Macaca mulatta: one gene and its partners. The protein of the gene in region 3 purifies or fractionates together with the protein of the main gene of each other region. This does not show direct contact. Links are inferred from orthologs where the notes say so. Each region holds a gene or a part of one and is shown on either strand. Other genes may lie near its edges. The genes, in order: FAM83D, FAM83H and CSNK1A1L.

What was found.
Region 1: the proteins of CSNK1A1L (region 3) and FAM83D purify together in Homo sapiens (affinity purification with mass spectrometry; 3 studies listed by BioGRID and IntAct, with this or other methods). This does not show direct contact. The link is inferred for Macaca mulatta from reciprocal best matches to the Homo sapiens genes CSNK1A1L and FAM83D.
Region 2: the proteins of CSNK1A1L (region 3) and FAM83H purify together in Homo sapiens (affinity purification with mass spectrometry; 3 studies listed by BioGRID and IntAct, with this or other methods). This does not show direct contact. The link is inferred for Macaca mulatta from reciprocal best matches to the Homo sapiens genes CSNK1A1L and FAM83H.

Annotation. Positions count from the first base shown.
Region 1 is NC_133415.1:91,794,069-91,804,258, reverse strand, and holds the start of FAM83D (protein FAM83D), read right to left. Parts: upstream 5,998-10,190; 5' UTR 5,958-5,997; coding exon 5,295-5,957; intron 1-5,294.
Region 2 is NC_133413.1:154,094,802-154,104,867, forward strand, and holds the start of FAM83H (protein FAM83H), read right to left. Parts: upstream 5,723-10,066; 5' UTR 5,525-5,722; intron 4,813-5,524; exon of another isoform or gene 4,672-4,812; intron 2,463-4,671; 5' UTR 2,448-2,462; coding exon 2,001-2,447; intron 1,187-2,000; coding exon 1,022-1,186; intron 955-1,021; coding exon 830-954; intron 634-829; coding exon 1-633. UniProt on the Homo sapiens protein: May play a major role in the structural organization and calcification of developing enamel. May play a role in keratin cytoskeleton disassembly by recruiting CSNK1A1 to keratin filaments. Thereby, it may regulate epithelial cell migration.
Region 3 is NC_133422.1:16,703,145-16,713,105, reverse strand, and holds CSNK1A1L (casein kinase I), read left to right. Parts: upstream 1-3,432; 5' UTR 3,433-3,842; coding exon 3,843-4,856; 3' UTR 4,857-5,840; downstream 5,841-9,961. UniProt on the Homo sapiens protein: Casein kinases are operationally defined by their preferential utilization of acidic proteins such as caseins as substrates. It can phosphorylate a large number of proteins. Participates in Wnt signaling.

The DNA of each region.
Region 1 (10,190 bases), on a different chromosome or scaffold from region 3:
TGTCACCTAAGCTGGAGTGCAGTGGCATGATCATAGCTTACTATAGCCTCCAACTCCTGGGCTCAAGTAATCCTCCTGCCTCAGCCTCCTGAGTAGCTGGAACTACAGGCACATGCCACCACACCCAGCTAATTTTTTAACTTTTTGTAGAGACGGGATCTCACTATGTTGCCCAGACTGGTCTCAAACTCCTGACCTCAAGTAATCCTCCAGCCTTGACCTCCCAAAACACTGGGATTACAGGCATGAGCCACCACGCATGGCCAAACCATTTGTTTTTAAACACTGTATCTCATTTAGTGTGGCAGAATGCCCACACTTTGAAAGGTATATAGAAACAGTGTCAAGGAAGGGGATGGCAGATTCACAACCCCCAGGCACAGCCACCCAGGGACAAATACTTGCTGAGTAGAAAGGCAGACAGAATCACCTGAACTACTTTTCTTCTTACCTCCCACTCCCTTTCCCCCACCCTTTATTTCTCCTTAAAGCATGTAGCTGAATGAGCAAAGCTGCACATAATAGGCCCCTACAGTATTTACTGAGCACCTTTTATGTATCAGACACACTGAGTGATTCTGTGTGGTCAGAGAGCTGCTGGATAAAGCCTATGCCAGAACCAGCCATTTAGGCTGCAAAGCCAGGATTAGGCCCTGCCATTTACCAAGTAACCCTGGCTTCCTGTGCCTATACTCTGGTCAAGGAGCTTCATATTCTGGCTTCTTCCAGAGACATTCCTGAAGATGCAAGGTGGTCCCCAGACCACCTTAGTGAGGGCAAATAAAGCTGCACGGGGCAAACGCTGAGCTCTGACCCTGCTCTACTGCAGCCTGGCCCCAACCTCTGGGGTTAAGTGGGACCGTTCACGTGGCATTCAAAGTTCCTTCATTCACCCACCAAAAGGTTCCCATAGATCCCTCTGCTCCAGGTACCAGAAGTATCTATCTGGCTCCATCTTTCCCAGGGAGAGGAAAACGCACTCTAGTTTACAAAACCTAAACCCAGAGACCTATATTCTTCTGGCATCATTAACCACCTTCCCCACTTGATGGGTGGAGGAGGTTCTCTGCCAGCCTTAATGCCTCCTCCTCTAAAAACTGACCACCTCGTTTTCTTCCTGAAAAGGACAGGTCTAGTCACTGTCATTTTCCTGTTCATAGAATACGCAACATGGAAATTAAAAAGTCCCAATCTTCAACTGTTACAAACCTTCAGCCTGTTGAAAACTAACAAAGCTCCAATCCTTCCTCATGGCAGGGAGGCTGTGTGCTGTAGGGATTAGGAGTGTGGGCTTCAGTGGTCAGGCACCGTGGCTCACGCCTGTAATCCCAGCACTTTGGGAGGCTGAGGCGGGCGGATCACAAGGTCAAGACCAGCCTGGCCAAGATGATGAAACCCCGTCTCTACTAAAAATACAAAAATTAGTAGCAGGCGCCTGTAATCCCAGCTACTTGGGAGGCTGAGGTAGGAGAATCGCTTGAACCCGGGAGGCAGAGGTTACAGTGAGCCGAGACTATGCCACTGCACTCCAGCCTGGGCAACAAGAGCAACTCTGTCTCAAAAAAAAAAAAAAAAAAAAAACACCCTACAAAATTTAGCTGGGCTTGGTGGTGTGCTCCTGTAATCCCAGCTGCTCGGGAGGCTGAGTCAGGAGAATCACTTGAATCCAGGAGGTGGAGGTTGCAGTGAGCTGAAATCATGCCACTGCACTCCAGCGTGGGTGACAGAGCAAGACTGTCTTTAAAAAAATAAATAACAACAACAACGAAAAAAAACATGTGCGCTTCAGAGCCGGAACTAGACAGACTTGGGCTTGAGCCCAGCTCTGTCCCATGCTAACTGTGTGATCTTGGGCAAGTTACTTAACTTCTCTGTGCCTGGTCTTTTCTTAATTGTGGCCTCCTCACAGGGTTTGAAGAGTTAAATGAGGTAATTCAGGTCAAGGGTTTAGCACAGAAACTGACCCATTCTAAATGCTCAATCATATCACCATTAGGTACCTTTGCCATCAGAACACGGATGCAGAACAGCTTCTCATTTCATCCTGAAAGCAGCCTAAGACCTACACCTTTATGATCCTCGCTGTCACAGGTACTAGACTTCAAAGGATGTGGTCAAGGTGACACAGCCACTCCCTTGTTCACAATGCATGCCCTTAAACAGTGGTAGCACTTAGCCAACCACCAGATCTGCTCTCTGTCACCTCTCCCCACCCGAGCACAGGCTCCTGAATCCTCCACAGCGAGTGTGGTTGTTAACAGTGGTTCAGACATTCTGTGCCTCAATTTGAGTACAGGGTCCTTCATTCTCTAGCTGCATGACTCTGGGGCTACTTAACTTCTCTATGCCCCAGTTCTATCAGCTGTAAAATGAAGATGATAATCGCACCTTCCTTGGGATTACTTAGAACAGTGCCTGGCAAATAGAAAGCATTACTTTTTTTTTTTTTTAAAGAGACAGGGTCTCCCCACGTTGCCCAGGCTGGAGCACAGTAGCCATTCACAGCATGGTCATAGTGCACTACAGCCTCGAATTCCTAGACTCAACCGATCCTCCTGCCTCAGCCTCCTGAGTAGCTGGGACTACAGGCACATGATACCATGCCTGGCTTTTTTTTTTTTTTTTTTTTTTCAACAAAAGAGCGTCTGGGACCTCAAATTCAGCACTGTCTCAAACCCAACTCATTTCAGCATCCCTTACCCCAGCTTCCTCTCCTACCACTAACCCGCTATGGGGAATTTGGCTGCCCCCAAACATTCCAGTTCCTTAAACACTTGTGGGCCAGCCCCCATACCCTAGGTCTGGCAAGCCCAACCCAGCTGTGAGGTCACTGCCACTCCACAGACTTTCTTTCTTCAGCCCTTTCCGCAGTACCTGTAGCAGACTCCTCACTGCTTCCCATCAGCACACTGTCTACCCTCAAGTGTTGGCAAGGTTGATGCCTTCTCCTGTGGCCCCAGGCCTGGTAGTGTCTGATACACAGCAGGCAATGAGTAAGCAAATAATTTGGCATCTATTCGACCTACTGAAAATACTCATTGGATTTTTTTTTTTCCCAAGACGGAGTCGTGCTCTGTCGCCCAGAGCTGGAGTCCAATGGCGCAATCTCGGCTCACTGCAACCTCCACCTCCCAGGTTCAAGCAATTCTCCTGCCTCAGCCTCCCGAGTAACTAGGATTATAGGTGCGTGCCACCACGCCCTGCTAATTTTTGTATTTTTAGTAGAGATGGGGTTTCACCATGTTGGCCAGACTGGTCTCGAACTGCTGACCTCGTGATCCGTCCACCTCAGCCTCCCCAAGTGCTGGGATTACAGGCTTGACCACCGTATCCAGCCAATACTCATCGGATTTAAAGGTAACTTTCTCAGTTTAAACTGCCCACGTTCCAAATATAGCATCTCAGAGGGAACTGTGGGTAGCTAGACTAGGGCAGCAGGTTCTATCTGGAAATGTCAGTATTACAAAACGCCCATGGGATGAGGGAGAGTCTGAGCTCCCGGCTCCATCCCCTCCTCAGGCCAGCACGTGAGTTTAATTTCCCTCTGGCCTCTGGTTCCAGTGCCCCTTTGCTATCACTAAAATTTTGAGATGGGCAAAAGACTAGAACAATCCACAGCTCTCACTATATAGACCAGTTCTTTACATTTTTCAGGTTCCAAGTGCTCAAGTTCTACTGGAGGTGAGCTTTGGGAACGCATACCTACACAAGTCTGCCTTTTCCATCTTTTTAATCTTCTCACTGAACCCGCAAGGAAAATGTCTACTGCATCAAAAAACCCTCAGCCCACCTAAAGCACCTCAGGGCTGGTAAAAGCCTAGCTGCAGCCCACAACCACTCCCTCAAAAGCAAGGCACTAGGTCACTGTATCCACTACCACTGCAACCCCACCATTCAGGGAAAGAATATTAAGAACATTGGTGAGAATTGGGGCTTGGACTTGGACATGTCAACCTGACAATGCACTGGTATCTTCACCCACAGTCAGACACACTCATGTACCAGCCCTCGCAAGTCTTACCATGGCTGGGGCTTTATCTGCCATGTCCCTGGCACAGGCAGACAGCCAGGAAGCCGGGCACTGCCAGTCAGCAAGCAACCTGACCATGGTTCCAGACCAAGGTGTCTGCCACCATACTGTTCTGCCACACCCACATGCAGGCTGCCTTCTTCCTCCTTGATCCCCAACACCCTGCTGCAGCTTCATTGAGGCTGGCAAGCAGACAAGACCTCCACTGCGCCCATGACCATGCCATACTGAGTCAGACAGTAGGACCAAAACAGAAGCCGATCTAATGCAAATGTATCTGCATTTTAGGAGACCACTGCAATCTGGCACAGACCCAGCCTATGGAAAACTCCTTGCCCCTTTCATTCACAACGGCAAATTTCCCCTCCAGTCTCTGGCAGTAGAAAAAGCGGCAGGGGGCCGGGCGCAGTGGCTCACGCCTTAATCCTAGCACTTTGGGAGGCCGAGGAGGGTGGATCACCTGAGGTCAGGAGTTCGAGACCAGCTTGGCCAACATGGCGAAACCCTGTCTCTACTAAAAATACAAAAACTAGCCGGGAGTGGTGGCAGGCGCCTGTAATCCGAGCTACTTGGGAGGCTGAGGCAGGAGAATCACTTGAACCCGGGGACGGAGGTTGCGGTGAACTGAGTTCCCACCACTTCACTCCAGCCTGGGCAAAAGAGTGAGACTCTGTCTCAAAGAAAAAAAAAAAAAAAAGACAAGAAAGAAAAAGCGGCAGGGGTCTCACTTTGCCACTTGTGTTTATCTGCTTTTTACAACATAAGATGCGTGAAAGTAATTAGCAATAATAATTGATTCCTAATGCCCCGTAGTTGTCTCTGGAGACCACCTTCCTGGAACTTTCCCTAGGTAAGTTCTTTGGTAATGAGTCTCCTAAGAAGCTCCTGAAAGTGGGATGTAGCGTTGGCTGACAGCCAGGGAAATCGGCAATTTTCCAAGTTTGATTTCAACTGAAATTTGGAGCTGGGAGTACTTCTGGTCCCTCCTTCAGGGATATGAACGTTAGGAGATGGAACCCGGACACAATTCTTATCCTTGGGAACCGAGGCTTCCCCACTATCCCCTGCCACCAGGAGCGGCCCGGGGGATCCGGGGAAGACACGCAGAGTGGGGTGTGAGTCGGGGACCCCGGGACCCCGTGGCCCGCGCTTCCGGTAGGGAGCTGAGGAGGTAGTCGCCCCGGCCTGTGCTCCCCGCAGGCCTCAATTTCCCATTCTTGAAGGGGGTCTCCCGTGCGACCCAGAGCCCGGGAGGGCCGCTCACCTCTCGCGCCGAGCGGAGCTGCTGGCGCAGAGCGTCCTTGCAGCCGTAGGGGCCGCCCTCGCCCGTGCCGCGGGGCTGGAAGTGGGCCTCGACGCGCGTGGCGCCGCGGTAGGCGCCCTGGTAGAAGGCGGGCCAGCCGAGCTCCAGCAGCGGCGGCTCCAGGTCCGACTGCTCGGGGAAGTAGGTGCCAGACGAGCAGTCATGCGAGGAGCCGAACGAGTCCTCGGCCGCCGCCGCCGCGCCCTCCTCTCCTGGCCTCTCCGCCGCGCGCAGGATGGCGTGCACCTCATCGGGGTTCAGGAAGCGAGCCAGGCGCTCGCGTCGCAGGAAGGCCGCGAAGGCTTCGGGGCCGCCGGCCACCAGCTCCTCCAGAGCCAGGCGCCGTGACTCGCTGAACAGCTCGGCCGGGTTGGGCGGCCCGCACGGAGACAGGCAGGCAGCCGGCAGTTCGTCCAGGCCCTCGCACAGCAGAGCCATAGCGGCACTCGGACGCGACAGCCCTCGGACAAGAACCAGCCTGCAGGCCCACTTTATAGGCAACCTTTGAATCAAACAGGCCCGCGCCATTGGCCGCACCTCCCCGCCTCGACTCTCCCATTGGCTGCATTCCTTCCAATAGCGGAGCGAGGCGGGGCGCAAGCCTCTACGGTTCCGCCCCCTCATGCGTTATTGGCTGCGATGCTGGGGTTGCTAAGCCGAATTTAAACTTGCAGGGGCGAGGCGGGCCGCAGAGCAGGGACAGAGCGGGGAGAGCCGGGCTCCTGGCCATCCCAGGGCGCCCCCTGCCGGCCGCCCCCCAGTGCGGCCCTACAAGGCCAGGGACAGTCAGGCCTAGGCAGTGAGGAGAGGCAGGTGCCGGCTCCCAGACACGTTGGCCACGCTGCTCCTAGGCTCTCAGAGCTTTGGTATGGCCAAACATATCGTCTTTATCCCCTGCCTTTAACCACGTATTCATTCATTAAAAAAATACCGGCTCATCATATTAGGACCGCTCCTTTGCTTACACCCTCGGGTAGTCTTCTCTCATTTCATCAGTTTTTGCCTTGTAAAACTCCAACCAACCCTGGTTGTATCCTACTTTGCACCTGCACCCCGGCAGCCCTACAGGGCTGGAGAAAAAAACAAAAAGAGCATAACCATGCTTACTGACTGGTCATGTTTTACATTCATAATCTGTAAGACTACCTGCTAGGAGGCCGGGCGCGCAGTGGCTCACGCCTGTAGTCCCAGCATTTTAGGAGGCCTAGGAGGGCGGATCACCTGAAGTCAGGAGTTTGAGACCAGCCTGACCAACACGGTGAAACCCCGTCTCTACTAAAAATACGAAAATTAGCCGGGCATCTTGATGTACGCCTGTAATCCCAGATGCTCGGGAGGCTGAGGCAGGAGAATCACTTGAATGCGGGGAGAGGAGGTTGCAGTGAGTCCAGATCACACCACTGCACTCCAGCCTGGGCGACAAGAGCGAAACTCCATCAAAAACAAAACAAAACAAAACAAAACAAAAAAACTGCCTGGTAGGCCACATTTCCCTCATTCTCTCTACCTTTTCCTCTCTGACAGCTTGCCTCCTATGTCACCGAGAACACAGAAGCAGTGAGAAGGGAACGTCCACGTGCGCCCATCTAGTCTACCTTCCTGTCTCCATCGCTGCCCATATACTGGGCATTGATGAACTGCGCCTGTGCCCATCCAACCCCAACCCCTCTGCCTGGGCACTTCCAGCCCCTCTACTACTCACCAGCATCACTCCAGCAACCTTCTTCTTTCTCCTGGAACATCAGCTTCCCTCTTTACTGATTCATTTCTATCAACCTACACGCATGCTGAAATATTTTTCGTCTTAAAACAACCCTCTTTTGACTCTACATTCCTCTAAAGCTCCCCATCTCTCTTCTTACTTTTGCAGCATAAAATCTCAGATGTGGCTGGCCATGGTGACTTGCACCTGTAATCCCAGCACTGTGGGAGGCCAAGGGAAGAGGATCACTTGAGCCCAGGAGTTTGAGACCAGCCTGGGCAACATAGTGAGATCCTGTCTCTACAAAAAAATACAAAAGTCAGCTGGGCATGGTGGTGCGCCTAACTCTTAGTGCATGGCAGTGCTCCTGTTGGTCCCAGCCACTGGGAAGGCTGAGGCAAGGGATCAGTTAAGCCCAGGAGTTTGAGGCTGTAGTGAATTATGATCACACCACTGCACTCCAGCCTGGGTGACAGAGTAAGACCCTGTCTCAAAAAAAAAAAGAAAAGAAAAGAAAAAGAAACCCTCAAACCAGTTGTCTATACCTGCTGTCTCCAGTTCCTTTCCAGCCCTCTTCAATCAGGCTAAAACCCTCACTTCTTTACCAAAACCTCTTGTCAGGTTCATCATGAGTTCCACAGAGCTAAATCCAACAATCAATTTTCAGTCCTCATCTTTCTTATGTAAATGAAAAGTGCGTCATAAATGTGAGAGGTTGCTATTATTATTTAGTAACCAATAACCTTTTTAAATGGATGAATGCCTGCGGCTATTCAGACGCCTCTCCCTCTCTTCCCCTGCTCTCCTCATCCCTTTGTGAAGTTTCTCAACAATAAGTGTGGGGCCTTCCATGTGTCCCTGCTCTGGTATCCAGTGTCTGGGAGGCTATAAGAGAGCACCTTTTTTTCTTTTTTCTTTTTTTTTTTTTGAGATGGAGTCTTGCCCTGTCACCCAGGCTGGAGTGCAATGGTGTGATCTCGGCTCACTGCAACCTCTGCCTCCCAGGTTCAAACGATTCTCCTGCCTCAGCCTCCAGAGTAGCTGGGATTACAGGCTCGTGCCACCACGCCCGGCTAATTTTCTGCATCTTTAGTAGAGACGGGGTTTCACCACATTGGCCAGGCTGGTCTCGAACTCCTCACCTTGTGATCCAACACCCTTTTCATCCTCTTTAAAGAAAAACACCAACAAAGTTCTGTGTGGGACAAGGACCAAGGATTGTGGTCTGAGGCTGTGCAACCACATAGCTTCTGTATGGCTGTAATGCTTGAGGTAAAAAATGAGAATGGCCAGGGCCTTAGCTGCTGTATTGCTGTCATAAGGTGAAGTACTTTATAGTATTATACTTCCCCACAATAAGCACACGAGGGGAAAGAGTGGAATAGGGCAGGGGGAAGAAGACAGGACACATCAGTGTACTCCAAGAATGGGACAGAGGAGAGGGGCACCCTTGTCATGAGACAAATGTCATGAGAGGCCAGGTGCGGTGGTTCACACCTATAATCCCAGCACTTTGGGAGGTCAAGGCGGGCAGATCACTTGAGGTCAGGAGTTGGAGACCAGCCTGGCCAGCATGGTGAAACTCTGTCTCGATTAAAAATACAAAAAATTAGCTGGACATCATGACAAGCGCCTGTAATCTCAGCTACTTGGGAGGCTGAGGCCGGAGAACCGCTGGAACCCGGGAGGCAGAGATTGCAGTGAGCCAAGATCGCGCCACTGCACTCCAGCCTGGGTGAAAGAGTGAGACTCCGTCTTAAAAAAATAAAAATAAATAAATAAATATCAGGAAAAACTTTGAAAATGTATGGAATAAATATATGCAACTCTAGGGCCTCATGTTAATTTCAAAGAGAATATTTGACAGAATGAAGGTCATTCCCAACCACCAGTTTTTTCTTGAATTCATCAGTTTTCACCATCTCCCAGTCTGGAGAGACATCTGCTCCAGGTCTGAGCCCCCAAAGCTCCCTCTACTTCAGGGGCCTCATGGGAAAGCCCTCTGTGGGGAAGGGGTGGGGTAAGGGGGAAGAGACTAGAAGCCCTCACCCACCCTCTATTCCAGAAACCTCCTCTTTGTGAATTCAAGTCAGCACTGTTCAAGTGAGCTCACAGCAATAACCACTCACACTAGCAGGTGTTATTAAAAGGAATTTAATAATTTTAATTAAAAATTCTTAACAGCGAATTCCGTCACAGGCCTTGGCATCTGGAAGCAACTCCAGGGACATGTGCCCCCTTTGGGATGTGGCTGACCCACGGTTTTGGACCCGAGGCCCACCGGTGCCGCGTGGCGAGGGGCTACCTGGAAGTTACTTCAATACGATATCAAAGATCCGCGAAGATTTTTTTAAAAAAAGTTTTAAATATATTAGACTCTCTTGATTGCCATTTTTACACAAAGCTGCTGATACAGTATACAGAGTTTTAACTTTTTTTTTTCACATAAAATACATTTTTTAAAGTGTTCTCTGTACATCAGTGGCTTCTGGTCTGGTGAATTATTGCGGAGGGCTGGGGGTCTGCAGACTTTTCCTGGGTGTGCAGAGCCAGGCCCCGCACGGTGGCACTTGCAATGCCCATGGGAAGCGGGCCCTCTGGCCAACAAGAGAGTCCTGTCGGGGAGAGGGCTATAGCTTCTGGCACAGGGGGTCACTTTTGCAGAGTCATCCACTGACCATTGGACCCTTTGCTCTTATGTGCCCTGGGGCAGGGGAGACCATCCCCAAGTTACAAATAGCAAGAGTTAAATACAGTCTTTCTGGGCATCTTGAAAGGAGCACCCTTCTTAAAGTACCCCAGTATCCTGCTCTAGAAGAGAGAGCAGGTAGGTGAGAGAGCTCAGGATGAAAAGGTATCTGACACCAACAACCACAATGGTCTCATGTTATTACAAAGCCAGCAAACCGGTGGGGCAGGACAGGGTACACACCCTTGTTAACTTTTCTAAGCCCCTTGGAAATGGATCAAACGGTGCAGAGCAGTTTTACTTATGCTGCATATTTGATGGAGAATTCTATCCTGAAGTCTTCAGTAGCTCTGGGCCTAGAGTTTATTCGGCTTCCCTAAGCTACTCGCCAGAAACCCACAGTCTGGTGATAGCCACCAACTTTCAATTGTTTGGGGCATATGATGGTGAGTCATGCAGCACCTGC
Region 2 (10,066 bases), on a different chromosome or scaffold from region 3:
TGCTGCTGGTAGAGCTGGTCGCGGTGGAAGTGGCTGGTCTGGAAGCGGAAGTCGTCGCCGTGGCTGAGGAACGTCTGCCGAGACACCTGCCGCGCGGCCGCGAAGTTCTCCACGGCGCCTGCGCCCTCGGTCGCGAAGCTGTGCCGCTTGAAGGCGTCCATCTCCAGGTGCCGCGCCTGGAAGAAGCCCCGCGCGCCCGCGAGCTCCCCAGCCTGCCCGGCCTCGGCCTCCAGGCGCCGCGAGAGCGGCCGCAGGCCCGCGTGCGGCTCCAGCGCGCCCCCCGGCATCCGTGGAGGCTCCTCCCGGCGGAAGGCCGACAGGAAGTGGCGGTCCGGGTCGAGGAAGGAGGGGAAGCCCAGGCCCTCTTCCCGGGGTGGCGGGAACAGGAGGTGCGCTCGTTTCGGGAAGGAGAAAGGGGTTGGCGCCCCGACCCCAGGGACGCCCACAAGGGGCCCGGCCCCGGCATACGGAGCCAGGGCATAGGCATCCATGCGGGCCAGGGCCGCGGCCGAGGGCACAAGCGGCTCGGACTGCGCGAAGAGGATGCGGAACTCCTCATCGAAGCTGGAGACCAGCTCTCCTTGGAACACGTGTGCCAGGCTGCGGTGGATCTTCTCAAAGGACCACATGAAGCTGTGGGGGGTCAGGGCCAGAGTCAAACTGAGCTGGAGCGAGGGCACTGCAGCCCCGTGGGCATCGGGTGGGGCGGGGAGGACGCAGGGATACAGGACAAGGGCTCCTGGCAAGGAGGGCCCTGGTGTGGAAAGGGGGTGCTGGGGCTACAGGAGGAGGCCCCAGAGAAGGGGGTGAGGGAAGCTCGCGGGCGCACCTGTAGCTCCCACTCATCACCACGGCACAGTCCACCAGCAGGAACTTCTCCTTGACGTGGCCCTTGAAGGACTTCCCAGTGCGGCAGTAGTAGGTGGGGCCCGCCACAGTCCGTACCCGCAGGAACTGGGGAGGGAGGGGAGTCAGATCTCTGCCGCGGGTCCTCCCCAATCTCCCACTCCCGGGAACTCACATCCACGTGGTGCAGGTTGACACGGCACTTGTCGGCCATGTCCAGGAAGTGCTGCGCGTTCATCTCATCCAGCAGGATGTAGACTGGGACCCGACGGGCGGCGGCCTCCAGCACTTCGCTGAGCAGGTCCACATCAGTGAACATGTCCATCACCACGGCCACCACCTGCAGGGGCGGGTCAGGACAGAGAGGAGAGGCCCCTGCTGTCCCCACACTATTGTCCAGCCTCCCCACCACGCCCAGGAGGCGTCTGGATCACCCACAACCACTGTGAAACAAGCTAGTCCATCCCTGGGAGTGGGGCTGCGTCTGGAAGATGGGTAGGAGGAAGGGACCACAGGACCAGAAGGAGAAGAGGTGTGGAGTGGCTGGCCATGAGGAGGGAGCCGAGGCAGGTGCAGGGCAGAGAACCCTGGACGAGGGTGGGCCAGGTTGGGGTATGGGGCCCCGCTGGGGGCATGGCAAGGGCACCTCAAAATCCCCTCCACCCTACAGACGGCTGAGCTGCCCCCACTCCAGGACAGCTGTCAGGGCTGAGTCCCAGGCTCCAGTTCTGCCCTGGGACAGGGTTGCTGCCATGGGCAGGGGAGAAAGTCATGGGCCTTTAGCGTCTGGACCTGATGCACCCTGCACCGTCTGCTAGCTGTTTGGTGAGGGTTAGAAGCCCTCAGCTGGCCAAGGGCCACCGGGCAGGATGAGAGGTAATTATCTGAACAATCAACCCAGGCTGGGGCGGTGCCCACCCATCTCAGAGCCCCTGAATTTCTGGGCACTGGCCATGACCATGGGCAAGCAGACCCGTGCAGAGCCTGTAGCCCCTGATGATCGAGACCTGGCGGCCCTGAAGATTGTTGCCAGGAACCCCCGCTCCAGCTGGAGCTCAGGGTTCACCCAAGCTGATCGTGCTCATGCGTCTCCTCCACCCTGGTGCCTCTAGCCCTGGCCCCTCCCCACTACCCTTGAGCCCAAGATGGCGCACCTGCTGGGCGGAACGGATCATCCTGCGGGCCTCATCCTTGATGCTGGGGCTGTCGGGGGGCGGTGGCTGCACCAAGGTGGTCACCTCGGTGCCCTGGAAGCCGAAGGTCAGAGGCCAGCCCAGGTCAAGCTCAGGCACGGCCTGGTCTGAGTTCACTGGCCAGTATGTACCTGAGGAGCCATCCATGTCCACGTCGAGAAGGCTGCCTTCGGGTGGCTCTCGGGTAACATACTGTGGAGGCCGAAGGTGTCGGCTCACATGTTCCAGCTCTTCAGGGCACAGGAAGTCTGGTGCCCCCTCAGTCGCCAGGAAGCGGCTGTAGGCCTCCGAGCCACCCTCGGCCAGTGCATCCACCGCCAGGCGGTAGTACTCTTTGTAGTGAGGCGGCAGGTACCCGGGTGCCAGTGGGTTGTCCCCCTGCGAGGAGCTCTGGGAGCGACGGGCCATGTTGGGGCCAGGGGTCTGGAGGGGCAGGGAGACACATGACTAGGGGTGGGGGCACTGGGACCACTCCTACCCTCTAGAATGGACACACTGTGGAAGGGGCTGTCAGTGACTTGGGTAGGCTGAAGTTTAGCCCATGCCCAGGAGGCCTTCCAGGACACCAGCTGAGCCAGGCTCACAGAGGGCAACCCAGACTGAGGGACACCCCAAGCTGAGGGGATACTGGTAGAGGGTGGGGCACAGGTATCCCAGCCTTGTCTCTCCTTCCTCTGGGAGGCTGAGGCAGGACAACCGCTTGAAGCCAAGAGTTTGAAACCAGCCTGAGCAACACAGCAAGACCCCATCTCTACAAAAAATTTTAAACATCAGGCAGGCATGGTGGCGTGCGCATGCAGTCCCAGCCACTTGGGAAGCTGAGACAAGGATTGTTTGAGCCCAGGAGTTGGAGGCTGCTATGAGTTATGATTGTGACGCTGCACTCCTGCCTGGGTGATAGAGACTGCATCGCTACAAAAAATGAAAATAAAACCAACCGCCCCCCAAAACATTTTATGACTGTTGGCTTAAAGACAAACATAATCCAGGCTGTATTCATCATTATAGTATTCACTTTTTTCTTAAGACATTCACAGGCCCCTGGCACTGTGCCTACTGGATAAGCTGGTGCCACCCATGCTGGCATGTGTCTGTCCCTGACTGCCTGGGAAACCGTGGGTAGGTCACTGCACCTCTCTGGCCTACCTCTACTGCACAACACAGCTGAGGGTCCACAAGACACCGTGCCTAGCCAAGGTGAGCGCAGCAAACAGGGCTGTGACCACCCTCCTCCTGGAATGGCAACCCTAAGCCCTACGCATAGCCCCGGGCGACACCTCCTCCCCATCCCCAGGGTTTCACAATTGGGTTCCCACAGCCCATTCTATGACTGCCCAGCCTTGCAACACTGACCCCTAGACTCTGTCTCTGTCTACCAGTCCCCCTCCTTCCCTTGACCTTTCTTGTCACTGTCCTTCTCAGATAACACCTCCCTGGACCACAACCCCTTGGTGCCCACAGGGCCCTGCAGGGCCTGCACTCCATATCGCCCAGATCTGGCTCTCCACTTGCTCAGAGTCCTGTTGCCACCAGCCCCCCGTCCAGGGCAGCAGGGACCTTTCCAGGTCCTGGGCTCCCCACCATCATCCATACTTGGCTGCCCCACAGCCCAATCTGTTCTCCAAAGGGTCCCTGCAGGGTGCCTGGCCTCTCCAGAAAGGTCAGATGGGGCGCACCCAGGGCCCACGCCTGGGGTCACCGAGCTACCTGGGTACCTCTCCCTGGAAGGAGAGCCCTAGGGACCGCTCAGCCCATCCCACTGCTCCTCGGGTTGGGGAGGGAGGCAGGACACCTATCCCCGCCTAGCACACAGGTTCCCGAATGTTGGCCCTGGCTGGGAAGGTGGTTCAGCCCAGACAGAGGAGTGTGCCCTGGGGCACTGACAGGATGGGCGCTGGCCAGCTGGACTGCACGGGTGCTAACCGGAGCCACTAGGCTGAGAATGTTGGGGTCAGGAGGCCGCCGTCCTGCCTGGTACCCCCGGGGGTGACATGGAGTTGGGACATGGGAAATACCTGGTGCCACTCAACAGCCCCAGATGCCAACTGGCCTGGGAGAAGCTGTCCCAACATTTCTTTGTTGGGGCATTGTCCTCATGGTTGACATATGGGGCTCGTTAGGGCAGATCGAGGCCAACCACATGGGGGTGAGGTGTAGGCCTGTCTGGCTGGGCCGGGGCGCCCACTCACCACTGCCAGCCTGGCTGTAGGGGCGGTGTCTGACCATACAGGGCAGGGGGAACAACCCTGCTAACCTTGTTTGAGGGCACTTCCCGACGCTGGGGGACACTCTAGAAAGGACCCCCACTGTCCCTTAGGATTTCACAGGGGAGGGATATCCACACAGCATCCAGGCTCCAGGCTGTGTGTAATGGGGGCAGGGATCATCTGGACTGTGGAATCCCCCGTTGCCAGGAGCCCTCCCAGCAGACACCCCTCATCATCACAGGGTGATGCCCAGACCTCCAATGGCTTCATTCCTCACATCGTGTCCTTTCATGGGTACGTGTCTGCTGGGCTATGGACGGGGCCGCAGACACTCCCAAGCCTGAGATGGAGCACCCCAGTGGCCTGCATGCCCACACATTTGCCTACCAAACGCTTGCCCAAGGGAGGTAGGGCACGGAACCCACCCATGGCCAATGACTCAGCACGAATCCACTCTTCTGCTGCTGACCCCTGACCTCTGACTCGAAGTCAGGGCCCTCAGCTGGCCTTCAAGGACCCCATCCTCTCCACCCTGGCAGGAAGTGGGGTTCCTGAGTATCTGGAAGGAGGACCCCATGGAAGGATCCGGAGTTCCTACACAAAGTGGGGTGAGCCTGTGCCAAGTTCCGATGGGCCCAGGAGGGCGCGGAGGCTCTAGGAGGCGGAAAGGTGGGGTGCGGAGGACAGGGCTCACAGACCGGAAGTCGCTCAGTGATAGCTTGCGGGGTGGGCACCCCAGCCCCCAACGGGGTCAGTGCACCCTGCGAGCTCGCGGCTGCGGCGGCTGGGTGCCCCATCCACCCACCCCAGCCCTGGAACATGGGCGCTACGGGCAGCCCTCCCGTCACTCGCCCTGCTTGCCAGGCGGGGATCCAGGCCGCACCCTGGCCACCCCAGTCCACGGTGGCCCGGGCGGGCGTCCCCAGGGAAGGGTCCAGGCCGTGCCCAGCACCCAGACTCCAGCTAGGCCGCGAGGGCAGCAGCGAGTCGGGACGGCCAGGCAGGCTCGACCCAGATCCCGGGCCGCTTCCCACTCGGCTCTTCTCGGGCTGCCGTCGTGCGAGGGCGCTCGCGTCCATATCCGCACAGCGGCGCCCCCTGTCCGAGCTGACCCGCCGCCCCGGCCCCGCGCACGCGGCCGCGCTCCACTCCCACCTCCCCTCTCTGGGTCGCGCGGCCCCGGCCCAGGTGCGGGCGCGAGGGTAGCCCAGGTGGGACCGCACCGAGGGGCGCCCGCCCCCGCCTCGCCCCGCCCGGGCCGGGGGAGGGGGGCCCTACCTGGCCAGGTGCGCGGGGTCTCGGCACAGGGGCAGCAGGAGCCGACCGCCGCCCAGCGGCCTCGCGGTCCGGTCGGTCCGGCAGCCACTCCCTGCCGCGGCCCGCCCGGCCTGATTCACGCGCCCGCCCCCGCCCCGCCCGTCGCTCCTGCCTCCTGCCTGCCCGGGCAGCACCTGGGGGCGGAGCGGCCCCACCCGCGGCGCGCCCGCATTCCTGCGCCCCGCGCCCGCCGCGGCCCCGCCGCCCGCCCCGGACCGCGCCCCCGGCCCGCGCCCCGACCCTCCGCCCCGACTCGCCCGTGCCCTGCGGCCACGTGCCCAGAAACCCCGGCCCAGCGCCGCCGGAGACCGTGAGGCCCCCACTTCAAAGGCCTCGACCCCCAGGAGCCCAACTGTTGACCCCAGGCTCAAAGTTCCTAGCCTGACCCCTGACCCTCGCCCCGGAAGTTGGGGTGACTCGGAAGTTCCGGCTCAGTCGCTAGGAAACAAGCCAGCCCGACGCAAGGGGCGGAGCTCTGACCTCCTCGCCGAGTTGGTGAAGGCAGGTGCGGCAGGTGAGGGCGCTGGGGCGGCGTCGAGCCCCGGGCGGGGCCGGGTCTGGGAGCCCCGAAAGCACAGGGGATCCATTCACCACACACCGGTCTCCCACCGCACCAGCGTCCCACACGTAGAGGGGATCCCGCCCAACAGAGGACCCCCAGGCCCCGACCCCCACCACACACACACACTGATGCCCACAAGTACCTGGGGTTCCCCATCTTTCTCCCTCATCCCTTCACATCCATGCCCACACTTGTAGGGGACTCTGCTGCAGTGACCCCCAATGCACATGCGGACCCCGAATGACCTGTCCCTCGTGTGCACCAACCCCCCAAGCACAGGAGACTCCTCAGGAAGACAGAACCCAACAAGAACACCCAGTCCTATCCACTTCAGTCACCCACAAACACGCTGACGTCCGCACACGTAGGGAACCCCACCTGCATATGAGAGCCCTCAGACACCGATCCCACACACAAACAGGGATGCCATATTCACACTGACTCTGAGAGACCAGGGGACCTCCCTCACACATATAGAACCCTGGGTGTACACTCGGGGACCCCGCGAAAACCAAGCCCCAACACGGACAAGGGACCCAGTGTGCACACCAAGCCTCACATACCAGACGCCCCCGCATGAACACAGCAACCCCACACACTACCCCGAGCTGCCCCTGGGTGCTCCAGAACCCCCAAATCCCCCTCAGGCCCTCACTTAGGGCCTCTCCCCCCACTTAGGCCCTGCCCTGCACTGGATTACCTGTCCAAACCACCACCCTTCACCCCTGCCACTCCCACCCCAAGGACTGGCCCTGCCTGAACGCTTTCTGATGGTATCAGTCACCTTTCTGTTTGTCCCTCTTGCCATGTGATCCTATTTTCTGTTTTCAGGGTCACTCCCAGTTTCATTTGTTCTTTCCCCAGACACTCAGTGACACCCCACTGGTACCAGTATGCTGGAAACATGGGTGGGGGGTCAGACCAGTGCCCAGGCAACTGTGCTGTAGCGGGTGAGGGGCATGGGGCACCAGGGAGGACCCCGACAGGCCAAAGCAGGCAGGAGGAGCCTCCCAGGGAAATGAACTTGGGGGTCAGCTGTGTGGACTAGGGAGAGGGGTATTACTCCAGGACCTGACAACACCATCTGCCAAGGCCGGGACCACATAGGGTCTGAGGGCGTGGAGGGGTGAGTGCCTTGGGTGGGCTGGGGAGCAGGCTCACGGGTGGGCTGGGTTCCCAGGGCAGTGGAGAGGCATGGAGGCTTCAGCAGAGAGGGCCGTGCTCATGCTTATGGTGAGAACAAAGACCGTCCCACTGGCAACCCAGCACCTTGGGGCAGTGAGAAGAGTGCTGGACTCCAGATCCTTGGCCTGGCGGGATGAGCTGAGCCTGGGGTGGAGGAGCAGGCAAGCCACAGCCGGGGGGATGGGATGTGGCCAAGTGCTCTTGCCAGGCATCCCGGCTCAAGCTTCTGGGCACACACCTGGGGCGGGCAGGCAGACAGGACACCAGCTGGGAAGCCTTGGGGGAAGCCCATGTTCCTGCTGTTATCCACTCAGGCCCCCGTGGTGTGCCCTGTTCCCCACTGCCGCTGTCCCTGCCCTCTGCCACTCTGAGCACCCCCTCCCTGGTCCTTCCCTACCCATCCCCCAGGAGAATGCACAGTAAGAAGGGGGGACCCAAAGCTGCAGCTGGGAAGTGGCAGACGCTCCACCCTGGGCCCAAGCCGAGAGCCACTGCTGGTGAGTGCACCCTCTGACCTCCAGGGCACTGTCACCCAAACACGGACCTGTGAGACCTTCTGTGTAACCACTGAGAGACACCCCCTCTGAGGAGAGCCCTTCTTCCAAGAGTGGCTCTCAGGGGATCTCTGAGTTGGGATTAGGTGTGACTGACAGAGGGTTCATTCATTCATCTCGGGCCTTGAGTCTGAATCTTTTTTTTTTTTTTTTTTGAGACGGAGTCTCGCTCTTGTCGCCCAGTCGAGTACAATCCCGACTCAGTGCAACCTCCACCTCCTGGGTTCAAGTGATTCTTCTGCTTCGGCCTCCTGAGTAGCTGGGATTATGGATGTGTGCCACCACGCCCTGCTAATTTTCGTATTTTTGTTTTAGTAGAGAGGGGTTTCGCCATGTTGGCCAGGCTAGTCTCGAATTCCTGACCTCAGGTGATCCGCCCACCTCAGCCTCCCAAAGTGCTGGGATTACAGGCTTCAGCCACCGTGCCTGGCCCAGCCTTAATCTTATACGCCTGGGGTTGGGATGGGGGCCTGGGGGTAGCGCTCAGAGAAGCCCAGTTTTGGGGGATGGGAAGGGGGCAGGAGCCAGTGGGAGGGGCCTAGGTGGCCAAAAATGGGTTTTGAAACAGGAGGGCTTGAGTCCAAGTTGGGGATTCTCAGTCTAAATATGTGTTCTGCTCTGACTCTGCTCCATCTGGCCGTCCTGTGCTGCCCTCTGCCTGCCGCTTTGCTCCCAGTCACCTTCTCCGTAGTCACTTCCAGGTTGGATGGTGACAACTCACCTGGGCTGGGTTTTCCTGTGGGTCGGGAAGGGGACTTCCCCCAGATCCCCCCCGACCCCGCCTTCACTGTTGTCACTCCCTTGCCCCAACTCCCATTTATTCTCTGTGCTGGCTGTGAACACATTCCAGGCTGCAGATCTGGGGTCCTTCAGCACCCAGGCCTGCGCTGGGGTCTGTGATTACTAAGAGAGTATCCCAGACTGCTCCCCAGACTGCCCCTCTGCTTAGAGTGGGCCTGGCCTAACACCCCTGGATGCCAGAGAGCTCCCAGATTCACAGGAGCAGGTGGGATGATGGTGACCACTCCTCCACACCAGGCTGGGGTTAGATCCTAGTTCCCCAAAATAGCCCCAGCTGCGTCTGAGGCCAGCAGCCCTCCTGGAATGAGGATAATGGGCACAGGCGCCGCATGCTGCTTCCGCAGTCTCTAGCCCTGAGTACACTGCACTCCAATAAACGGGGCAGGGCAGGCGGACCTGCCGGCCAGGAAACTGGGTTGCGTGGGTGGGGGCTGTGCTCTTCAGTTCTGCTACCTACTGACTGCACCCCCAGGCCTTCGCCCTGCACCGCAGCCCATACACTGCCCTGGACAGCTCTGGCCCAGCATACCTGGGTCTGCTGCAGGGACACCTCTGTCCCTGAACAAGTATCTGCCCTCAGTGCCCACTTCCACCAAGCGTTGGGCCAGCCTAGGCAGGCTTGCTGTCCCTTGGTCTTGCAGTGCCCTGCGTGGCGGGCACGGGCTTCACTTGGCATATGTGAAAATGGGCCCACAGATGCCCTGCATCCAGCCTGGCTTCCTGGCCCTCCACAGGCATCCCTAGGTTGCTGGAGTGGCCACCGCACCAACACAAGGGTCCGGGATCCCCTCCCCACCACCCCATCCAGGCCTTACCTGGCCTTGGGTCTGCAGTGCTTCGAGGCCCTCACTCCGGAGCTGCTCCAGGGCCATGGCCAGCTGCAGCCCCTCCACGTGCACCCAGGCCTGCTCCTCCTGCAGCTGCTGCAGCCACAGCTGCTCCTCCTGTAGCTGCTGCAGCCACAGCTGCTCCTCCCGCCACAGCTGCATCTGCAGCTGGACCTGCCTCCACCGGTCCTCCAGCAGCAGCTGCTCCTGGGCCAGGCAAAGCTGGACCTCATGGAGCCTCAGCAGTTCAGGTCCCAGGGCCGGCATGGGGCCCCCTGCTCCACAGCCTTCCATGTGCCCAGTGAGAACCAGCACCAGCTCAGACCCTGGAGCAGCAGCCGGCACCGGCCTCGAGGCTGCCTGTGGCTGCTCTGGCCTGGCCACCCTGGGGTGTCCCTGAGGTGCTGGCTCGATGCTGGTCACGTGCCCTGTAGGGGCCACCCCCGCATCACCCTGAGGGCCCCCTGGGGTGAGGGGCGGGGGCTCGACCTCAGGGCCCTGCTGCCCAGCTGCCGGCTGGGCCCTGCCTGCCCTCCTGGCCCGGTGTTTGCGAACTCGACCTCGTTTCCCAGAC
Region 3 (9,961 bases):
TTCTGAACATAGTGTTTGAGCCACATAAACTTCAGTAAATCCCTTAGTGACAGCATTATTTATTTAAGAACATATTTTCACTTATTTTGTATTCTATTTAAATAGTTCCAAAAGGAGATGATATTCACGCCAAATGGTTTCTGTAATGACAACTGCTGACCCAATTTGACAGCCAAAAAAAATTTTTTTTTTACTTAGAAATTTTTGTGTCTCAAATGACCTTTCTACTAAAGTGTCTCCATTTCCTGGGAAAGGACATCAAGAAGCCCAGAAAATTAACCCCAAAATTCATATGAGACTAAAACCAATGCCATTTGAGTATCATTTCTTAATTGCCAAAAGCAGATGTGGACTTACAGGGAAGTGAATAAAGCCTCCTTTGCAAGGTCCCTTCTAAGTGTTAGGAGTGGACAGGAGTTCTGAAGTATTTCACGTGGGGAGGAGAAGTCAGATTGCATTGTGGGAACATTTCTACATAAGAATTTCTGGTCAATTGCATCAAGATAGCTTAGGGGATAAAAAAAGAGACTTGAACCTCTAACAGTCAAGCAAATTGTAATGATTTCTTTTCCTAAGTTAAATATTTCATGCCTGTTTTTTGTTGCTGTTGTTATCGTTGTTGTTTTTCTTAAAGAGGGCCACAAAAAAAATTGTATAAAGTTCAGGACCGACAAAACCTGAATTGGCTGTTAGTACAATACTACCCAGTACAATCCTGCCCAGAATACGTTATTTTATTTTTACTGGAGTCATCTTGTATTAATAGAAATTATTTTAGAGGCAATTGTGAAACCAAGGCTAAATCATAGCTTTAAAATGCATTGGTAAAATACTTTACACAATTAAGGGAAAGAAAGAGAACTAATATATTCCCAACAGTGAAGCCACCCAGCGTTCAGGGGCCTCTAGCTGTTGATATCTATGTAGGGGTTACAAGTACTGGCTTTGGAGCCAGCCTGGATTTCCATTCTGAATCCATCATTCCCTATCTATTCCACCTTTGGTGAGTCACTCATGCCCTGCAAATAGGAGGCATTCAGTAACTATTTGTTGAGTGAATGAATAAATAATGCATCAATCCCACACACTGTCCAGAAAACTTTATCAAATACAGTAGTTCAATTTACTTCCATTTTATAAACTATTTGTTGCCCATCTTTTAGGGAAAAATATTGGACAAAAGGGTGGGAAGGGATGCAAGAGTTTAAGCAAAGTGTTGTTTGGGTTTAAAAAAGAGTATTTAAATTTGGTTAAGGAGATTGGAAAAAGTTTCATGGAGCAAACAGCATTTAGGGAAGAGTCCTGAGATTATTAGGATTAGACCTGGGCGATGTGAAAGATAAAGCAGACTGGAAGCATTTCAGGCTGAGGAAGCAACACCATAAGCCAAGACCCAAAGATGGAAAAAAAATGCAAGGAGTATGTGTTCGGGGAAAAATCAGCAGCCCCACTGGCTTGTGGTAAGAGAATTCATGGGAGACTGGATTGGAAGCTATTCAGGGTCATATCACCACTTCAGTCATTGATCCTCCCCACTCTGGAGATGCTCACAACTTCCCTGTAAGTGAAGGTTCATCCAACCACCATTATAAGTTACACTTTACTTTCTTTGTAGACACTGCCTTTATTTAACTGATACAAAGAAGTATGGGACTTAGTAAACAATTAATAAATTATAATTAAACTCTTCTTGTTCCAGTATTGAAAGGGGATTTTTTTAATTCAAGCTTTTGTCCAAGTATGGGTTATCCGTATCTTTTTTGAATAGCGACTTCTTTCACACAGAGATCATTTGAATTTCAAGGTTCATGTTGAAGCTATTGACTGGAAGACTGAAAGGGAAGGAAGCGTAATGGGCACTGGGTTAACAACATAAATTTTGTTCTAGATTATTAGAAAGGAAATTGTTCTCCAGGCAAATTTCGACAAAGTTGGATGAGTAAATGAAAGAAATGCCATTCTAGTTGGTACCGTATAAAAAGTAACTGCCTTGGGCCAGACTTCAGTTTCAAATTGGCCTCCAACACTTACCTGTAGTGTGGTCTTGGGCAATTCATCTAACCTCTCTATGCCTTAATTTCCACTTGTATAAAATGAGAAGTACAATCACAATAATAAAATATGCCAGCAGTATACTGTATTACTATCCACCTGTGGGAGGAGTATGTATTTTCACCCCACTGTCTTTGGACCTGGCCATGTGATGTGTTTTGCCCAGTGGAATGTGACATTTGCCACTCCTTTTATTATGAGAACAGCATGCTCCTAAGGAGGCTGCTCTTTCAGCCCGCATTCTAGAACAAAGAGGACACAGGAAGCAGAGATGCAGCTGATCTACAGCTTACATAAAACCTGAATGATAAATAAACTTTGTCATTGTAAGTCACTGAGATTTGCGAGTTGTTCCTGCTGCAAAGCCAAGTAATACACTGTGCCACCCACCTCACATATTTGTCTTAAGCGAACTTTAAAAATGTTTTAAAGCACTCTATAATGTTCTGTGCCCGTCTATGTCTCAAAGCAGCTCCTTCTCTCGCCATAGATTGATGCAGGTCAGAAAAGTTAGAAACAGCACTAATTTATGTGAGACAGTAAAGTGGGAATACCTACTTTCAAAGCTGCACCTCCCTCTCCTGCCCTTCTGCCATTGGTCCCCAAATTCGTTGCTACTGCCCCGTTAGGATTATACTCAGTTCCTATCCCATATCCTCATAAAACAAAATAATCGCACAGGTTTTGTTATTTGTGATGTGAACTGTCATAAAAATATTGAAATGGTACCGCTTTTTCTGCTAGTGTTGGCCCCAATTCTTTCGAGAAAATGCTCAGAACTGCCGGCGTCTGTTTCTTCTCTCTATTTTGGTTAAATTTTACTTGAATCCTTCATTTAGTCAGTTTTGCCAGAACTTCTCTGTGGAATCTTATTTAAATTCAAAGCACTCTATGAAAAAATTTCAAAAAGATCGCTTAAAAAACACACACACACACATTTCAATTTAACTAGCAGTAAGTAACTCTTGTTGACCAAACTCAATAAACAAGCAACCACTGAGACTGCAGAGAAAAAGCCCAAGGGGTGGCACCCCAATTGGCATTAACCCAGGGAGACATGATGGCTAGGGAAGTAGGTGGGACAATGACTGGGCCCGAAAACAAGAATATCTTTGTTATAAAAGCCTCCCATTTCTGCACAATTAAGTTGAAAGGAGGTGAGCTTCGAGTTACATAAGCCTAGGCAGTTTTGAATTCCAGCTGGCCCACAATCTCTTGCAACCTTAGGCCGCTTACCTGAGACTTAGCCTTTCTTACCCAACGAATCAGGGAAAATAACAGCTATCTTACAAGACTAGCAAGTTCGTGTTAAATGGAACAAGATGAGTGGAACACCTAACAGAGGACTCAAACATTAATAGTGTCTCCAAAAATTCTCGATTTGTGGTTGGCTGAGGCGGAGGAACAAGATGGCGGCGCCAGCGGCGTGACCGGGCCCTCGGGCCCACAGCCGTTGGCAGCGGTGGCAGTGGTATCGCTGCCGCAACTCGCTGTGCCCCCTTTCTCAGCCCGCGACGTCGCCGCGACAGCGAGGCAGCGACCGCCACCCAGAAAGAGGTGGTGGCCCAGCCTGGCAACCTTGAGAAGCCCTCGAAAACTGTGGCCTGGCGGAAACCCTGGTGTGCTCTGGGGATCAGGCTGACTCCAGGCCCTGTAACACCGGGAGAGGCCTCGGTGGCCATTTCCAGCAGCCCTCACCCTCAGCCTTGTGGGGCTGGCGGGCCCCGGAGGCCTCCATCCTCCCCTAGAGGGGTCAGGGCAGAGCCCAGCCTCCATCTTTGCCTCTCAGGATGGCAAACAACAGCGGCTCCAAGGCCGAACTCGTTGTGGGAGGGAAATACAAACTGGTGCGGAAGATCGGGTCTGGCTCCTTCGGAGACGTTTATCTGGGGATCACCACCACCAACGGCGAGGAAGTAGCAGTGAAGCTGGAATCTCAGAAGGCCAAGCACCCCCAGTTGTTATATGAGAGCAAACTCTACACGATTCTTCAAGGTGGGGTTGGCATCCCCCACATGCACTGGTATGGTCAGGAAAAAGACAGCAATGTGCTAGTCATGGACCTTCTGGGACCCAGCCTCGAAGACCTCTTTAATTTCTGTTCAAGAAGGTTCACCATGAAAACTGTACTTATGTTAGCCGACCAGATGATCAGCAGAATTGAATACGTGCATACAAAGAATTTTCTACACCGAGACATTAAACCAGATAACTTCCTGATGGGTACTGGGCGCCACTGTAACAAGTTGTTCCTTATTGATTTTGGTTTGGCCAAAAAGTACAGAGACAACAGGACCAGGCAACACATACCGTACAGAGAAGATAAACACCTCATTGGCACTGTCCGATATGCCAGCATCAATGCACATCTTGGTATTGAGCAGAGCCGCCGAGATGACATGGAATCCTTAGGCTACGTTTTCATGTATTTTAATAGAACCAGCCTGCCGTGGCAAGGACTAAAGGCTATAACAAAAAAACAAAAATATGAAAAAATTAGTGAGAAGAAGATGTCCACCCCTGTTGAAGTTTTATGTAAGGGGTTTCCTGCAGAATTCGCCATGTACTTGAACTACTGTCGTGGGCTGCGCTTTGAGGAAGTCCCAGATTACATGTATCTGAGGCAGCTATTCCGCATTCTTTTCAGGACCCTGAACCACCAATATGACTACACATTTGATTGGACGATGTTAAAGCAGAAAGCAGCACAGCAGGCAGCCTCTTCCAGTGGGCAGGGTCAGCAGGCCCAAACCCAGACAGGCAAGCAAACTGAAAAAAACAAGAATAATGTGAAAGAAAACTAAGCATGAATGAGGAACAGAAGAAGCAGAGCAGATGATTCGAGCAGCATTTGTTTCTCCCCACATCTAGAAATTGTAGTTCATATGCACACTAGCTAGTGGCTGTGGACAACCATTTACTTGGTGTAAAAAACTTTATTTCAATATAAACTGACTCTGGGGAGCGTGGGTGATGCTGTATCCCAAGGTGTGTAGCCGCTGTAATTGTGAATATTAACTGAGGTAGTGAAACATGGTGTCTGGTTTTCTATTGCATTTATTCAAGTAGAAAAATTAACTAAATGGTTGACACACACGAATTGGTGGAGACATTGTCCATATGCCAATTTTTTTGTTAAAACCTTTTATTTTGAACTAGACTGCTTTGATATCTCATTTCAGAAGAACAGTCTTCAGCCACAGCTGTAAAGGTTGTAAATGCTTACCATTGAGCATTTTTAGGGTTTCTCCATCCCTGGGGTCTGCAAATTGTTCACACAAAAAGCATTCTTAAAATGGTTGGCTTCTTGTTTGCAAGCCAGCTGATCTGGTAACAAACAAAAATTCCAGTTTTGAGAATAGGAAAGATACTGCCTGCTTACCTGCAAAGACATAAGAAAATCTTAGTAACTACCAGATAATCTTTAGAATTCCACACTAACTTTATCATGTTTTCGGTATTATAAAAACGACAACAACAACCATATTTGTCACAGAAATTTAGTTAACATCTTACAACTGAACATGTATGTGCATTGTTTAGATAAATGTAATCACTGTAAACACCTATGTGATCTGGGATTTTGTTCATATTTTGAAATGGGAGCTTTTATGTTTTACAAGTTCACTTAAAACCGTTTCTGTAAGAAAATGATACTTTTTTAAACAACAACCAAAAAATGCCTTGCTGATTCACTAGGAAATAAAAATCTCCCCAATTTTTTGATAGTCAACTTAAAGTCATTTGTTACATGATATTCCTTTGCAAGTAAATTTTATTTCATGACATAAGTTTTTTCAATGTTTTTATTCTAAAATAATTGTTTTGTATGAAGAGAAATGTATTCTTTCATTTTTCTTTTTCTAATGACTTGTGGTACAGTATCTAGTACTGCAACTGTCAGAACTTGGTATTGTTACTTCTTCCACTGACTAATAGCTGGGCTGATTTCAAAAAAGAATGCAAGCATTGAAGGGTTTGACTATAAAACATTGTTGTTTAAAATACTTGTGAAATGGCTATAAACAGTTGACTTTTACCCTTGGAGAGCACACTGTGTGAGGTTCTGTGATCATTGACTCTCCCTAACCCCCATCTGTTTCTCTGAATTATGTGTGTGTGTATGCGCTTCCTCTCAATCTCTTTGCACCTTCTTTTTTTTTCTCTGACGCAAGATAAAGGAAAACTCATTTTCCTTTTAATTCTTTAAATAGTGTAATTTATTCACTTATAGCATGTCAGGATAAATTAAAAGAACTTTTGTCTGAAAATGCTGCCAGGAGCCTATTGTGTAAATGTAGGCATTTTGTAAAATAACCTTGAAATTGAAAATTGCCACATGTTTGGTCAGATTGTATCAGGTTTCATTTTTTTTTTTTTTTTCATTTGAAAACTACTTCAGCAATAATTAATTCCATGATTACCGCATTCTGCCATTAAGGGATATATTAGTACTATAATACTGAAGAAATCTTAGTAAGTCCAAATGTTGGGGGTAGGAAGCTTCTTTGTTTCCTTCTATCCACCCTTGTTAGTTAAGGTATTTGTTTCTTAGCTATTAAGCCCTTTCCAGAAATCAGTCTCATAAAGCTATTTTTGAGTATAGTTTATATAAAAGAAAAATATTTAACTTTGGTAGTAACTTTTCCAAGCTTACCTCCCCCAGCAAGATATTTTTCAGTGCTTTTATTCAGTATGTACTTATTCTGAAATATTTTTGTATTCTTGCCATTTGAAAAGGTTGTGGCATAGTTGTTGTATAATGAAGTTGCAGATTTAAAACTACTGTTAGCTTTGTAAAACAAAATATAGGTGTTTTTCTCCCGGTATATCATCATTCCATTTTTCTTCTAGATACCATTCAATGTCTTCACAGTTCATAAAAGAAGAATGTGAAATGCAGTGAATGCTGTTACTAGTCATGCCAAGAGATGAATCTCATTTCACAAAAATTACATTATGTTTTTCCACTAAAGGGTGATATAAGTTGAAGACACATCACTGTGATATTGGGAGACCTCACCCCTTAAGGCTCCACAGTGGCTTCCTCAGCCGAATTCTAAGTTACTGCTCTTTACTTTGTTCACCCATTGGAGAGTGCAGTTTTTTTACACGTTGGGAGATGGCCATTCTAACTACTGTTCAATGTCTCTGTTTTGGGGAGGGTAAAACAAGAAAATTTTAAAAAGAGTATACGTGTCTGGGCACAGTGGCTCACGCCTGTAATCTCAGCACTTTGGGAGGCCGAGGCAGATGAACCAGCTGAGGTCAGGAGTTTGAGACAAGCCTGGGCAGCATGGTGAAACCTCATCTCTACTAAAAAATACAAAAAGTAGCCATGCGTGGTGGTGGATGCCTTGTAGTCCCAGCTACTCATCAGGCTGAGGCAGGAGAATCGCTTGAACCTGAGAGACAGAGGTTGCAGTGAGCCGAGATCGCACCACTGCACTCCAGCCTGGGTGACAGAGCAAGACTGTCAAAAAGACAAAAAAAGAGAGTAGACATGAAGGGAGACACTGGTTATCCTACCATATGGATGTGCTTATGCTTTGATGGTCTACAAATAGATATTTGGAGGTTTACCTTTACTATGATTTTTCCACCAACAAATATTTTTATTAAGAGATTTTCCTAATTCCATTATAATAAAAATATCAAACAAAAGAAGTTTTTTTTTTTTTAAAAAAAAAAACGTCTTCTTGGATTCTTTGTCATTAACCTTCTTCCATTGGGAACCTACTGTCGAGTAACAAAAGGAACTATATTCTGCCACATGAAGACAAAAGACAATAATATATTTTGTATTCTAAAGCCAAAAGCTTAAAAGAAACAGCATGCACACATTTATATGTATGTACTTTTTTCCTTGACATATTTATAGCTTCTCATAGGTCACACACATTAAAAAGTAGCACACATCTGAACTGTGCAGAAGTAAAATCACACATATTCCGAATAAAGTACATCTTCAGTTCTGTATTTCTCTGTCCTCCAACTTTGAAATCCCTAGGAACTACAAAAACAGGGAGAGAAAAAGAGAGCCCCCCACCCATCAAGAGGTCATATTGAATGATTCCAAGGGATAGTGGAAGCCTGTACTGAATCCAGGTTTTTAAACTGCCAAGTTTTTAACTCCTGGCTGCAGTTCCCAACATATGACATAATTTAGAAACTTGATTTAGGCACAGGAGAATCACAGGACTTAAACACTATGTCCCTTAGCATGTAAAATATTTATGGAAAATCCAGGCAAGTAATAAGCTGTAAAGAAACTAAAAGGAAAAAATTTTGAAAAATGGCAGCTATAGTATTTTAAATCAAAAAGGGAAAAAGAAGAAATGATGGCCATTTTATTAATGGGTAAGTTGAGTGGAACCTCTTTGGGTCCTTCACAGCCTTTCTATTCTTCCACCATCTTCTAACATCTATGATTCCTTGGGGCCATTACGAGACCCACCAGGAGGATGGAGCAGCTGAGGATGGTGCTACTTTTCCAATCAGAGATGATCACAGAAGTTTACAAATAAGCATTTTCACCCCAATCCAGCAATACCAGCACCACCACCCACAATGCTTTCACATACAGACTTGTTCACATATACCCTGAAAAAAACTTCCAAGGCTTCCCACTGCATCTATTTGAATCTATCTTAATGGTCTAAGGTTTGACTCAGAAATTATAGATGAAATTAAGTTTTACCTACAAATCTCAACTTTACCTCTAAAATCTCATCTGGTCAATCTTTGGTATCCCTGTTACAGAAAGAGAAGCATGATAAACACAGAAAAAAAGTCACCAAATTATACAAAATGATTTTCATTTGTTCATATTCGTGTTTAACTGTAGACATATTCTGATACCCAGGCACCCATCTGTGCATGGCTATTGTTCTCCATGCTTAGGAGGCCATAGTTATGTTTCAGTACAGTTCATTCACATCTTCAGTTATTCATTTGTTAAGCACCTACTATAGGCCAGATATTGTTCTAGTTGCTGGGGCTGTATCAGTGAATAAAATAGGTGAAAATCCCTACTGTCATGAAATTTACATTCTAGTGGGGGTAACAAATAAATGAAAGAAATAACTAAAATTACTCAGAAGATAATTACAATGAAGAAAAATAACAGTGGAGGGAATGAGGAGTGTTGTGCCCAGCTAAAACCAAGGCAGTCAGAGAGTCCCTCACTTAGAAAACGCCACTGAAGGAGCTTCTATATAGCTGAACATGTGGAGGCTCCTGGAGGGTGGAAGCTCCATGCCCCTTCTCCCACACGTCACCCTATGCATCTTTTCATGTGTATCCTTTGTGATAAGCCAGTATAAAGGTCTCATTGGGCATACCTGCTATAATCTCTGTAATCTCATTATCATACAATTAATTATCATTGTGGAATAAATTTTCCTTAACTTAAGTGGAAACATTTGCACTACCTAGAGCTAATGATGCTGGAGAAGATGAAACTGACATATCTCTATAGGGCCGGGCCTCACTTTGAGATCCCTGTTTACTCCCGCCAAGCCTCTGTCTTTACGTCTGTAATGAGCATGTCCATTTCTGCCACTTTGAGAGATGTGCAGCTGTAGGAAGCTGTGTTAGGTGTAGTCACGAGATCTGCTAGTCTGCAGCAAAGTGCCAGTGTATGACAGCCAGTGCACCGTCATCTACCCCCGGGTATGGCTGCAAATGAGAGGAGGTCTTTTAAGGTGACCTCCCAGACCTACAAACAACTACTCTTTGCCACCACCTTCCAACAGAGGGTTCAAATGGTTGTACAAGCACAGTGCCAATAAGATTGTTTTTTAGACCTGTGTCACCTACTCAGGAGGTTTATAACCTCCTCTGAGTTGTTTAATGACAGCTGATAACTGAAGGGAATAAGGATGTTGAATTTTATTAGAGGCCTGTC